Ovis aries: one gene and its partner. The protein of the gene in region 1 binds, or shares a complex with, the protein of each later gene. Links are inferred from orthologs where the notes say so. Each region holds a gene or a part of one and is shown in the gene's direction. Other genes may lie near its edges.

What was found.
Region 2: the proteins of PLEKHM1 (region 1) and MAP1LC3C are in contact, whole or in part, in a crystal structure (PDB 5DPW), measured with the Homo sapiens proteins. The link is inferred for Ovis aries from reciprocal best matches to the Homo sapiens genes PLEKHM1 and MAP1LC3C. Residues at the interface, in NP_055613.1 of Homo sapiens: Glu632, Asp633, Glu634, Trp635, Val636, Asn637, Val638, Gln639, Tyr640; in NP_001004343.1 of Homo sapiens: Phe13, Arg16, Lys17, Glu25, Ile29, Phe33, Lys36, Pro38, Asp54, Lys55, Thr56, Lys57, Phe58, Leu59, Val60, Pro61, Glu63, Leu64, Ile72, Arg76, Phe114.

Annotation. Positions count from the first base shown.
Region 1 is NC_056064.1:44,871,324-44,875,816, reverse strand, and holds the start of PLEKHM1 (pleckstrin homology domain-containing family M member 1), read left to right. Parts: upstream 1-1,619; 5' UTR 1,620-4,456; coding exon of another isoform or gene 4,457-4,493. UniProt on the Homo sapiens protein: Acts as a multivalent adapter protein that regulates Rab7-dependent and HOPS complex-dependent fusion events in the endolysosomal system and couples autophagic and the endocytic trafficking pathways.
Region 2 is NC_056065.1:34,213,857-34,218,131, reverse strand, and holds the start of MAP1LC3C (microtubule-associated proteins 1A/1B light chain 3C), read left to right. Parts: upstream 1-1,363; 5' UTR 1,364-1,452; coding exon 1,453-1,510; intron 1,511-1,616; coding exon 1,617-1,672; intron 1,673-1,870; coding exon 1,871-1,977; intron 1,978-4,275.

The DNA of each region.
Region 1 (4,493 bases):
TTGCTTCTCTTTTTTTCTCAGTTATTTGTAAGGCCTCCTCAGACCATTTTGCCTTTCTGAACATGCGTATTTCATGAAGGGGCTTGGGTAGTATACGCACCTTCATGAAGGGGCTTCAGCAGAGGGATTTAACATAGAATAACAGAAAATGTTGACAGAGTTCAGGTTTTAGTTGATTGAAGTCACAAAGTCAGAAAAGGTCAACATTATTCCTTATTTTTCCTTCAGGCTGGTAACTGAGCATGCAGTTACCACCCTCCACTTGGTGGGAGGAAGGGTGGGGATGTCGGGTGAGGGGGGCAAGGGGGACTTAGTTCCTGTAGCACAACTCAAAGATGTGTATCAGATTATGTCCAGCCCTTGAGGAGGAACTAGGATTCTTGTTTCATAGCTGAATTATTGCTTCCTGATTGCAATCCTTTGTTCCTTTCAGATCATTAATTACTAAGACCTGTTCAAGGGGAAGCATTGTGGCCAGGCTTAGATCACGAAACAGCTTAGGCAGAAAATGGCTTCTCTTATGTCAAAAAGCTATATTGAGTTCTTTTCCTCCTAGGACTTCCCCATATCCCCCCATTCTATCTGCTTACACTGGGACCTCAACCTCTCCAGAGATATGGGGGACATCTTCCCTGAAGAGGTGGATGGAGCATAAGATCCCAGCAGGGATCAGCGGGGCTTCCTCCCAAGAACTGGTGTGTCCCCCATCCCCCAGTCCTGTAAAGCCACCCCAAAGTCCAAGGCCCTGCGTGTAGTGGTACCTCTTCCACACGCAGGCCCTAGTCTCACTCGATAGAAACCTGCTCGTGTTAAATGTCTCAAGAATGTCAGGACCCACCCCCCCACCCCCACTTTTGACCTTTGGTTCTCTGTACCCCTCCTTTTTAAAAAATATTTGGCTGCGTCAGGACTTCATTGGTTTGTGGGAGCTAGTTCCCTGAGCAGGGATGGAACCCCCTTCATTGGCAGCATGGCGTCTTAACCACTGCACCACCAAGGAAGTCCCTATTCTGATTCCATTTGAAAGAGAAATATCGCTTCTACGACGGAAAGCAAACAATCACAAGGCTACGTGAGAATAACTGCTTGAGCGAGTGTGGCGCAGGCGTTCCCTTGATACAAGCTGTGCTTAAAATATACAGGCTTTTCCTGAGAAACGCCAGGCGGGACAGAAGCTCCAAGTTGGGCCTGGGCTCTGCCCATTTGGCTACACTGAGTCCCTGGGGGAGGCAAAAATAGGGTAGGCGTTGGTCCCATTTTACAAGCGGGGAACCTTCTCTGGAGGCCAAGTGACGGCCCCAGTTCTACGCAGATGAGGTCGGGAACTCAGAAGCCAGGATCTCGTCTGACACAGATCCAGCGGAAGGCGGGCAGTGCAGCGGCAGGCGGGCAGTGAGGACGCATTCCGCCGGGCGCCGGCGGCCTTGCTTCTCGGTGCCCTGCTAGGGTACGGTGACCGTGAGCCTCCCAGACCACATATCTACTCCGGGGCTGAGAATCCTCAGGTACGGGAGCGCTGGCCCCGCCCCGTAGCCCCTCCGGGCCCCACGATTGGCTCCACGGGCAGGGGCGGGGCCGGACGCAGAGCTGACGTTACGGCGTCAGGCGCCGCGGGAGCCGCTTCCTGTTGTCAGTGGCCGGGAGGCCGCGGCGTCCCATCCGAGGCTTAGGGGTTGCAGCGGCTGGCAGTGCCCCCGCCCCCTCGCTTCTCCCTTCGGTGAGTTAAGGATCCGGGGCGAGGCGGGCAGCAGAGGGGCGGCGAGGCCGGGACGCATATGGGCAAGGGGACACTAGCCCTTTCCGTGAATCCAGACCCCTGGTTGCCTTGAGACTGCCTTGCTTCTGAGCCCTCACCCTTCCCAGCCCAAGCTCCGCGCCCCACTCCAACCCTAGCCTTCGGCCCGCTCTGCCGCTGCTGGCCTGTCCCCTCCATTTGCCACTCGTGACTTGACCCTAGGGCTTACCACCCTCCCCCCTCCCCCCACCGGTCTTGCGTAAATGCAGCCTCATCCTTGACCTCACTGTAGCCCAGTTCCACCCCTGACCTTGACCACATACCTCTGCTTCCCCCCAACCCCTTTGGCGATCCTCATGCTGCACACTAACCTCGATTCTGGTTCGGTTCGCCCTTTTCATGATCAGCCTTCTTACCCTAATCTTACACACCCTCTGCTCAGCCCCCCAAGGTATGCCCATCCTGAAGACCCCATCTCTGTCCCACTCTCCTTTAAGACCCACCACCAAAGTAGACGCCCTGTTGAGCACACGGTTTTTCTTTTTGGTAACTGATCTCAGCCCTTTCTCAAGTCTTACACACCTCTTGCCTTCACAGACTCAACCCCTCACTTCTTAGCCCACCATAGACTTCCTATCCATCTCCAACCATCAGAGGACACTCCTGTCCCTAAGTCTTTGCTAAACTGCCCACGACTCTTGGTGCCCAGTTCTTAACGTCCTCACCCAATCTTACTAAAAATGAGGTCTCCTGCCCTCTCACCTCTGCTGTCCCCATCTCAGTTCTACACCCGTTTTCCCCTTAACCCAGTCCCCACTCAGTCTGAGAATTAGTGAAGAGTCCCCCTGCCAACCTCACCAGCTGCCCCTCAACAGCCAAATGTCACTGCCTGCTGGGAACCCAGCAGTTAGACACTGAGGGGCTTGATGGGTGCAGGCAGGGCCTCAGGTGGTAGGTAAGTGTGGAGAAGTAGAGCTCCCTGCCTTGGGTCAGCGTCAGGGATATTTTTCCCAGGTGTCTGGTCCCCTGGACTTGCCCCCTGAAATTGTATGTCTAACATTCATATTAAATGACTTGTGCTGCTGCCGGAATGGTAGGTGTCACCAGATACCTGGAAGGTGAATAATGGCCGCTCACCTGGCTCCCACATAGCCTGGGGCAGTGGAAGCCATCACTTCCTGTTGGTTGGTTTTCTAGCCGGGAGTAAGCTCAGGGAGTACCACTGTGTAGCAGTGTTCACAGAGCCATGTTCATGAGTGTGGTCACTTGTTATGGACCTTCGCCTGGTGCTTCTGCCAGCTAGAGCTGAGAGCAGGCCTGTCCTGACACTGAACACAGGGAACGCAGTGGATGCCAGAGATGATGTTACATGCTGTGAGGAGCGTAGGTGAGAGGGCTCCCAGGGGGCTACAGGCGGGTACAGCGGCTGCTGAATCACTTCCTCTTTCTGCAGGTGCTGGATCTTTGAGTTTGGCCCGTTTGGTTACCCATGAACATGGGGAGCCCAGATATCTGAGTAGCTGAGGCAGAGGGACATTCCTGAGGCCCCACTTTCAGCATTTATCATCGCCTGGGCTTTGGGGGTACACATTCTCTTCAAATTCTGACGACCTGGCTTTAGAGGCCATTTGGTAGCAATTTTAAAGGGTCCCCAATAGGACCTGTTGTCTTTGTTTGCCATTCCTAGTCTCTTTTTTTCATATTTATTTACTTATTTGGCTGCACTGAGTTCTAGTTGTAGCACTCAGGATCTTTTTAATTGCGGCATGCAGGATCTAGTTCCCTGACCAGGGATCAAACCTAGGTCCCCTGCACTGGGACCATAGAATGTTAGCCACTGGACCACCAGGGACGCCCTCTTGCCATTTATAGTCTTGTTCCTTTGAAAAGTTGAATGCTCTTCTCCCTTCAGTGTCCCCCTCGGCACCCTATTAAGGTGGGATACATTGAAATAGTTTTAGCCAGCTGGCAGGGTGGTTTAATGGAAGGTGTTCCGTCCTGGCTGAGAACCATATACCTCAGCTTCCCTCAGCCTGTGAAATGGAGATTCGTGCCCTGAGCCTTATTTTTGTTTTATTCTTCTGTACATCCAGTAGATATTTTTTGAGCACAGCTGTGTGCTGTGTGTTGCTCTAGGCACCAGAAATGCAATGGTGAATGAGTCAGACAAAATTCCTGTTATCATTCATTCAGAGTTAGTTGGTCCTTGCTGGAATCCTAAAGATGAGACAAGAATATGGGGCAGATGGGTGTTATTGATGGAAGGAAGGAAGAAGGAAAGAAAATTGCTCTGTCTTCACTGACTTCACATTTCTGGCCTTACTCACTAGCCTTTGGTTTGGGAATCACAGGGCTAGAAATTTCTCTCCCTCTAGCTGGCATCTGATGACTTCAAAGCCCGTTCCACACTCTCCCCACTCACTTCTCCTGCCTCAAGACACTTGTCCAGAAATGCAACTGTCTTCAGGTGGAAAGAGGTATACTTTACTCACTCAGCACTCACATGTCTGAAAGATCAGCTGCCCTTCTGAATCAGAAGATAACTTTGTCCTTCTTTTCCAACTGTAAACCATGACTCATCAGTTCATACAGCAGCTGGATGGCTTAAATGCCAGACTGTTCTCAATAGCTCCGTACAGGGTTGGATTCAGGCCGTAGAGAGCAGGCTGTTGGGAATAGCTGAGAAGTCTCTAAGGAGAGGAGGCTGCTGTTCACTGATGGATGGAGTGTTTCAGAACTGAAGAAGCCCAGCAGTTCT
Region 2 (4,275 bases), on another chromosome or scaffold:
TAAATAAATAAGTTTTAATGGAGAAGTTTTAAGTAGTGAAAGTGAAAGTCTCTCATTTGTGTCTAACTCTTTGTGACCCCATGGACTATACAGTCCATGGAATTCTCTAGGCCAGAATACTGGAGTGGGTAGCTGTTTCTTCTCCAGGGTATCTTCCCAACCCAGGGATCAAACACAGATCTCTCGCATTGCAGGTGAGTTCTTTACCAGCTGAGCCACAAGGGAAGCCCATACAGAAGCAAAATAAACTACTTTTCTTTGTGTCTCTCCACAAACCTAGAGAATGTTTGGTTTTCTCTATGTCATCATTATTAGGCTGAAGACTTCAATGTCCGATGTCCTGCATGGAACAGAACCAGGGATGACCCATGAAAGTCATGGTACCTTCAGAGACCATGGAAGAAGTCCAAATGGTCCTATTTATTCTTAGGACATACCTGAATAAGATGGCAGGACCACTGTGCTCCTGGATGTAAGGTAAGGAGGTGATCAGCATCAAATGAGAAAGCTGAATCACTAGAACCATAATTAATGCATAAAAGAAGCACAATCAGGTGAAACACCCTGATCTGAGAATAAGGAGACCAGTGAATCAGCTTCTATGGATCTCAGTTTTATCATCTTAAATGCAAGATCCTGAGAATAACAACCAGTGTTCTACACACATTCCTAGACCTGTAAAAATATGAACAAAATATGTTGGAAATACTACTTTGCTACACAGCTGGATTTTAACACTGGTTTTACATATTTTTATCTGGACAAATTGTTCAACCTTTTGGGAATACCTATTAGTATTTCTTACTGTGAAAAATAGCAATATATTTCAGGATAAGGTGAATCACTATTCAATTTGCTTCATTACTGTAGTATTACAATGTCCTCACATGAAACTGTTTCTATCCATAACTTCTTAGCTTAGGCTCATAGGACCATTTATAGGGAGGACCAGTGCTTTTTGTTTTAGTCACTGTCATGTCGGACTCTTTGCCACCCCATGGCTCCTCTGTTTATGGAATCTTCCAGGCAAGAATACTGGTGCGAGTTGCCATTTCCTTCTCCAGGGGATATTCCTGATCCAGGGATCGAACCTGCATCTCCTGCAATCTCAGGCAGATTTTTACCTCTGGGCCACTAGGGAAGCCTCGATGATCAATGAATGACAATATAAAATTTAATTTGTTTAGCAAAAACAAAATTTTTAAATAGTAGTGAGTGAAGTAACTTTCTTGAACCAGCAACCAGGTGCCTGTTTCATTTCCTTTCTCAGCACTGACCTCCTCCTGCCCGGGGAGAAGGGAGGATTGGAGAAGGGTGATGTCACACAGCCCTACATAAAAGCCTCCTTTGGGCTCCTGCCGGCAGTTTGGAAGCAGCTGGAAGGATGAATTAGGTCCTGGTGGTGAGATTTTTTTTTTTTCCAGGCAGACACAGACACAACTGTTGAGCAAAATGCAGACTCCACAGAAAAGCCCAAGCCTCAGACCTTTCAAGCAGAGGAAGAGCTTAGGTAAAGCTCTCAGAATAGCTGTCTGGGTTTCGGCCCTTGAGACAGCAAGAGAAGGTACAGACTTCTGTATATGCCGATGTGCTCATTTTATCTTAAATGTTCACAGCAACCAGAAGAGAGGAAGTTGCTGGAATCAGAGTGAAGTTCCCTGGCAAGATCCCGGTAAGACTCCATTGTCCTGGGGAGTGGGAGTGAGGGTGAGGGCAGGGATTAGGGGGAGGGGGCTGTGAGAGCCTATTCAAAACACCAAAACCAGCCAGTGACCTCCTTCTTTCTAGTCCAAGTTCCTCAGACATAGAAAAGTGAGGTGTATCCTTTGACATTTGCTTCAGAGGAGATTCAGGTTGAAACCCTTGACAGGTGATAGTGGAGCGCTACCCCAGGGAGAAGTTCCTGCCCCGGCTGGACAAGACCAAGTTCCTGGTCCCACAGGAATTGACCATGACCCAGTTCCTCAGCGTCATTCGGTAGGTAGCTAAGAGCCTGGGGGGTGGGGGGGGGTGTTGTGTGGGCTTGGGCTTTTGGGACAATGAGAGATGGGAGGTGGCAGAGAAGGAGAATGATTTGTGCTCCCCCTTTCTCTTCAATATGCCTTTTGTGTGTGTGTGTGCGTGTGTGTGTGCATGTGTGTGCGTGTGTGTGTGTGTGTGTGTGTGTGTGTGTGTGTGTGGCTGTCCTGCATCTCCATTGCTGTGTGGGGGTTTTTCTCTAGTTGTGGCTGGCTGAGGCTACTCTAGTTCTGCTGCACGGGCTTCTCACTGTAGCGCTTCCCTTGTTGCAAAGCATGACGCTAGGGCGCGTGGGCTTCAGTAGTTGCATCACGTGGGCTCAGCAATTGTGGCTCCCAGGCTCTAGAGCACAGGCTCAGTGCCTGTGGTGCAGGGGCTGAGCTGCTCTGCGACATGTGGGATCTTCCCAGGCCAGGAATCGAAGAACCCGTGTCTCCTGCATTGGCAGGCGGACTCTTGGACTCTTTACCACTGAGCCACCAGGGGGGCCCCAACTACGCCTTTAAAAAGGATGATCTCATGAGTAACCAGTTTTAAAATGATGTCAAATATTTTGCTACCGCCCTAAAATAAATGAGCACTCCCAATATTGATGTATCAGCTATTTTTCCCTTTGTCCTACATTTTACTGGTACTGTGTTTTAATTTCTGCCTTCAAATTTCTCTAAGAATTTTTCAAAGGAACCTTTAGAAACTGGTCCAAAACCCTGTTTTCAGCTATTTTAAAAGCCCAGTGACAGCATTGTACCTCTAAATATTTTCCCTCTTGTGGCTGGGAGGGAATTTGGGGTAGGAAAATGCACTGTCCACCTGCTGAATCACTGAGCAGGAGAACCACACCTTCCCCCACATCCTTCTTTCTTCCATTCAGAGCAAGGGAAGGCGTAGAGTAAAACCAGTGTTGCTGACTTTGAAACTTAAGGGATTGAGGTGGTCATCTGCCAGCTGGACTCAATAAAAAGTGATATGAAACCAAAAATAGCTGACTAAGGGTTCCGTAAACATGGCTGGTGTGTGAGTCTCCCTGTGCTGGAAACAACCTCTCAAAAGTTTTGGCTGATGCAGACAGTTTCATCTGAGAACTTATTATGATGCTTTTTAAAATGAGCTCTTTCAGAAGGCCCTGCATTCTTCTCAGACCTACTTAAGGGTTAGGTTAATCCATGGAAATTGGGGCAACTCAAGGAGAACCACAGTCGGATGTAGACCCCTCCTTCTGTCAGCCAACAGGCTGCTGGGGCACAGCGTGGCTTCACCAAGAAGTGAATTTTGACACAACTTCCTCCTTTTTTCCATACAGGTACACCTCCAGTTATCATACGCTTCATCCTTCATCCTAATAATTTTGAATCTTTGTATGTATGTTAGTCACTCAGTCGTGTCCAACTCTTTGCAACCCCCGGGTCTGTGACTCACCAGGCTCCTCTGTCCATGGGATTTCCCAGACAAGAATATTGGAGTGGGTTGCCATTTCCTTCTCCAGAGTATCTCCTCGACCCAGGAGAACCTGATCTCCTGCATTGCAAGCAGATTCTTTACCATCTGAGCCACCAGGGAAGCCCTTGAATCTTTACATTAAGTCATAATGGGTGCTTAATATCAATATGTTTAGATGACTTGACTCTTAACCTTGTCATTAAGCACACTGATATTAAGCACCCATTATGTATCATGCACTGTGCTGGGAGCTGCACAAAGAGCAATGAAAAATACAGACCAAAAGTCCTATGCTAAACAAGATTTAAACTAAAGTTTCCACTCTTGGAGACTCCTCACCCTTAATAAAATGAGACCCTCGTGGAAGAAGAAAGGAGATGAAGGTGCAATGTGGAAATATAGGAGCCCCATCTTCAGATCTACACTTTCCATGTAGAACAGGCATTTGCTCACCACACGAGAGCAGTGCAATGGTCAGGGTCTGGTCTTTGGATTATCCAGTGTTAGTTAACCAGATTCTGAAATTACTTCCTCTCCCACCCACCACATAAATTTAGCTCCTCCTAGCTAAGAGTAGCGGAGAAGGCAATGGCACCCCACTCCAGTACTCTTGCCTGGAAAATCCCATGGATGGAGGAGCCTGGTAGGCCGCAGTCCATAGGGTTACAAAGAGTCGGACATGACTGAGCGACTTCTTTCACTTTTCACTTTCCTGCACTGGAGAAGGAAATGGCAACCAACTCCAGTGTTCTTGCCTGGAGAATCCCAGGGATGGTGGAGCCTGGTGGGCTGCCATCTCTGGGGTCGCACAGGGTCGAA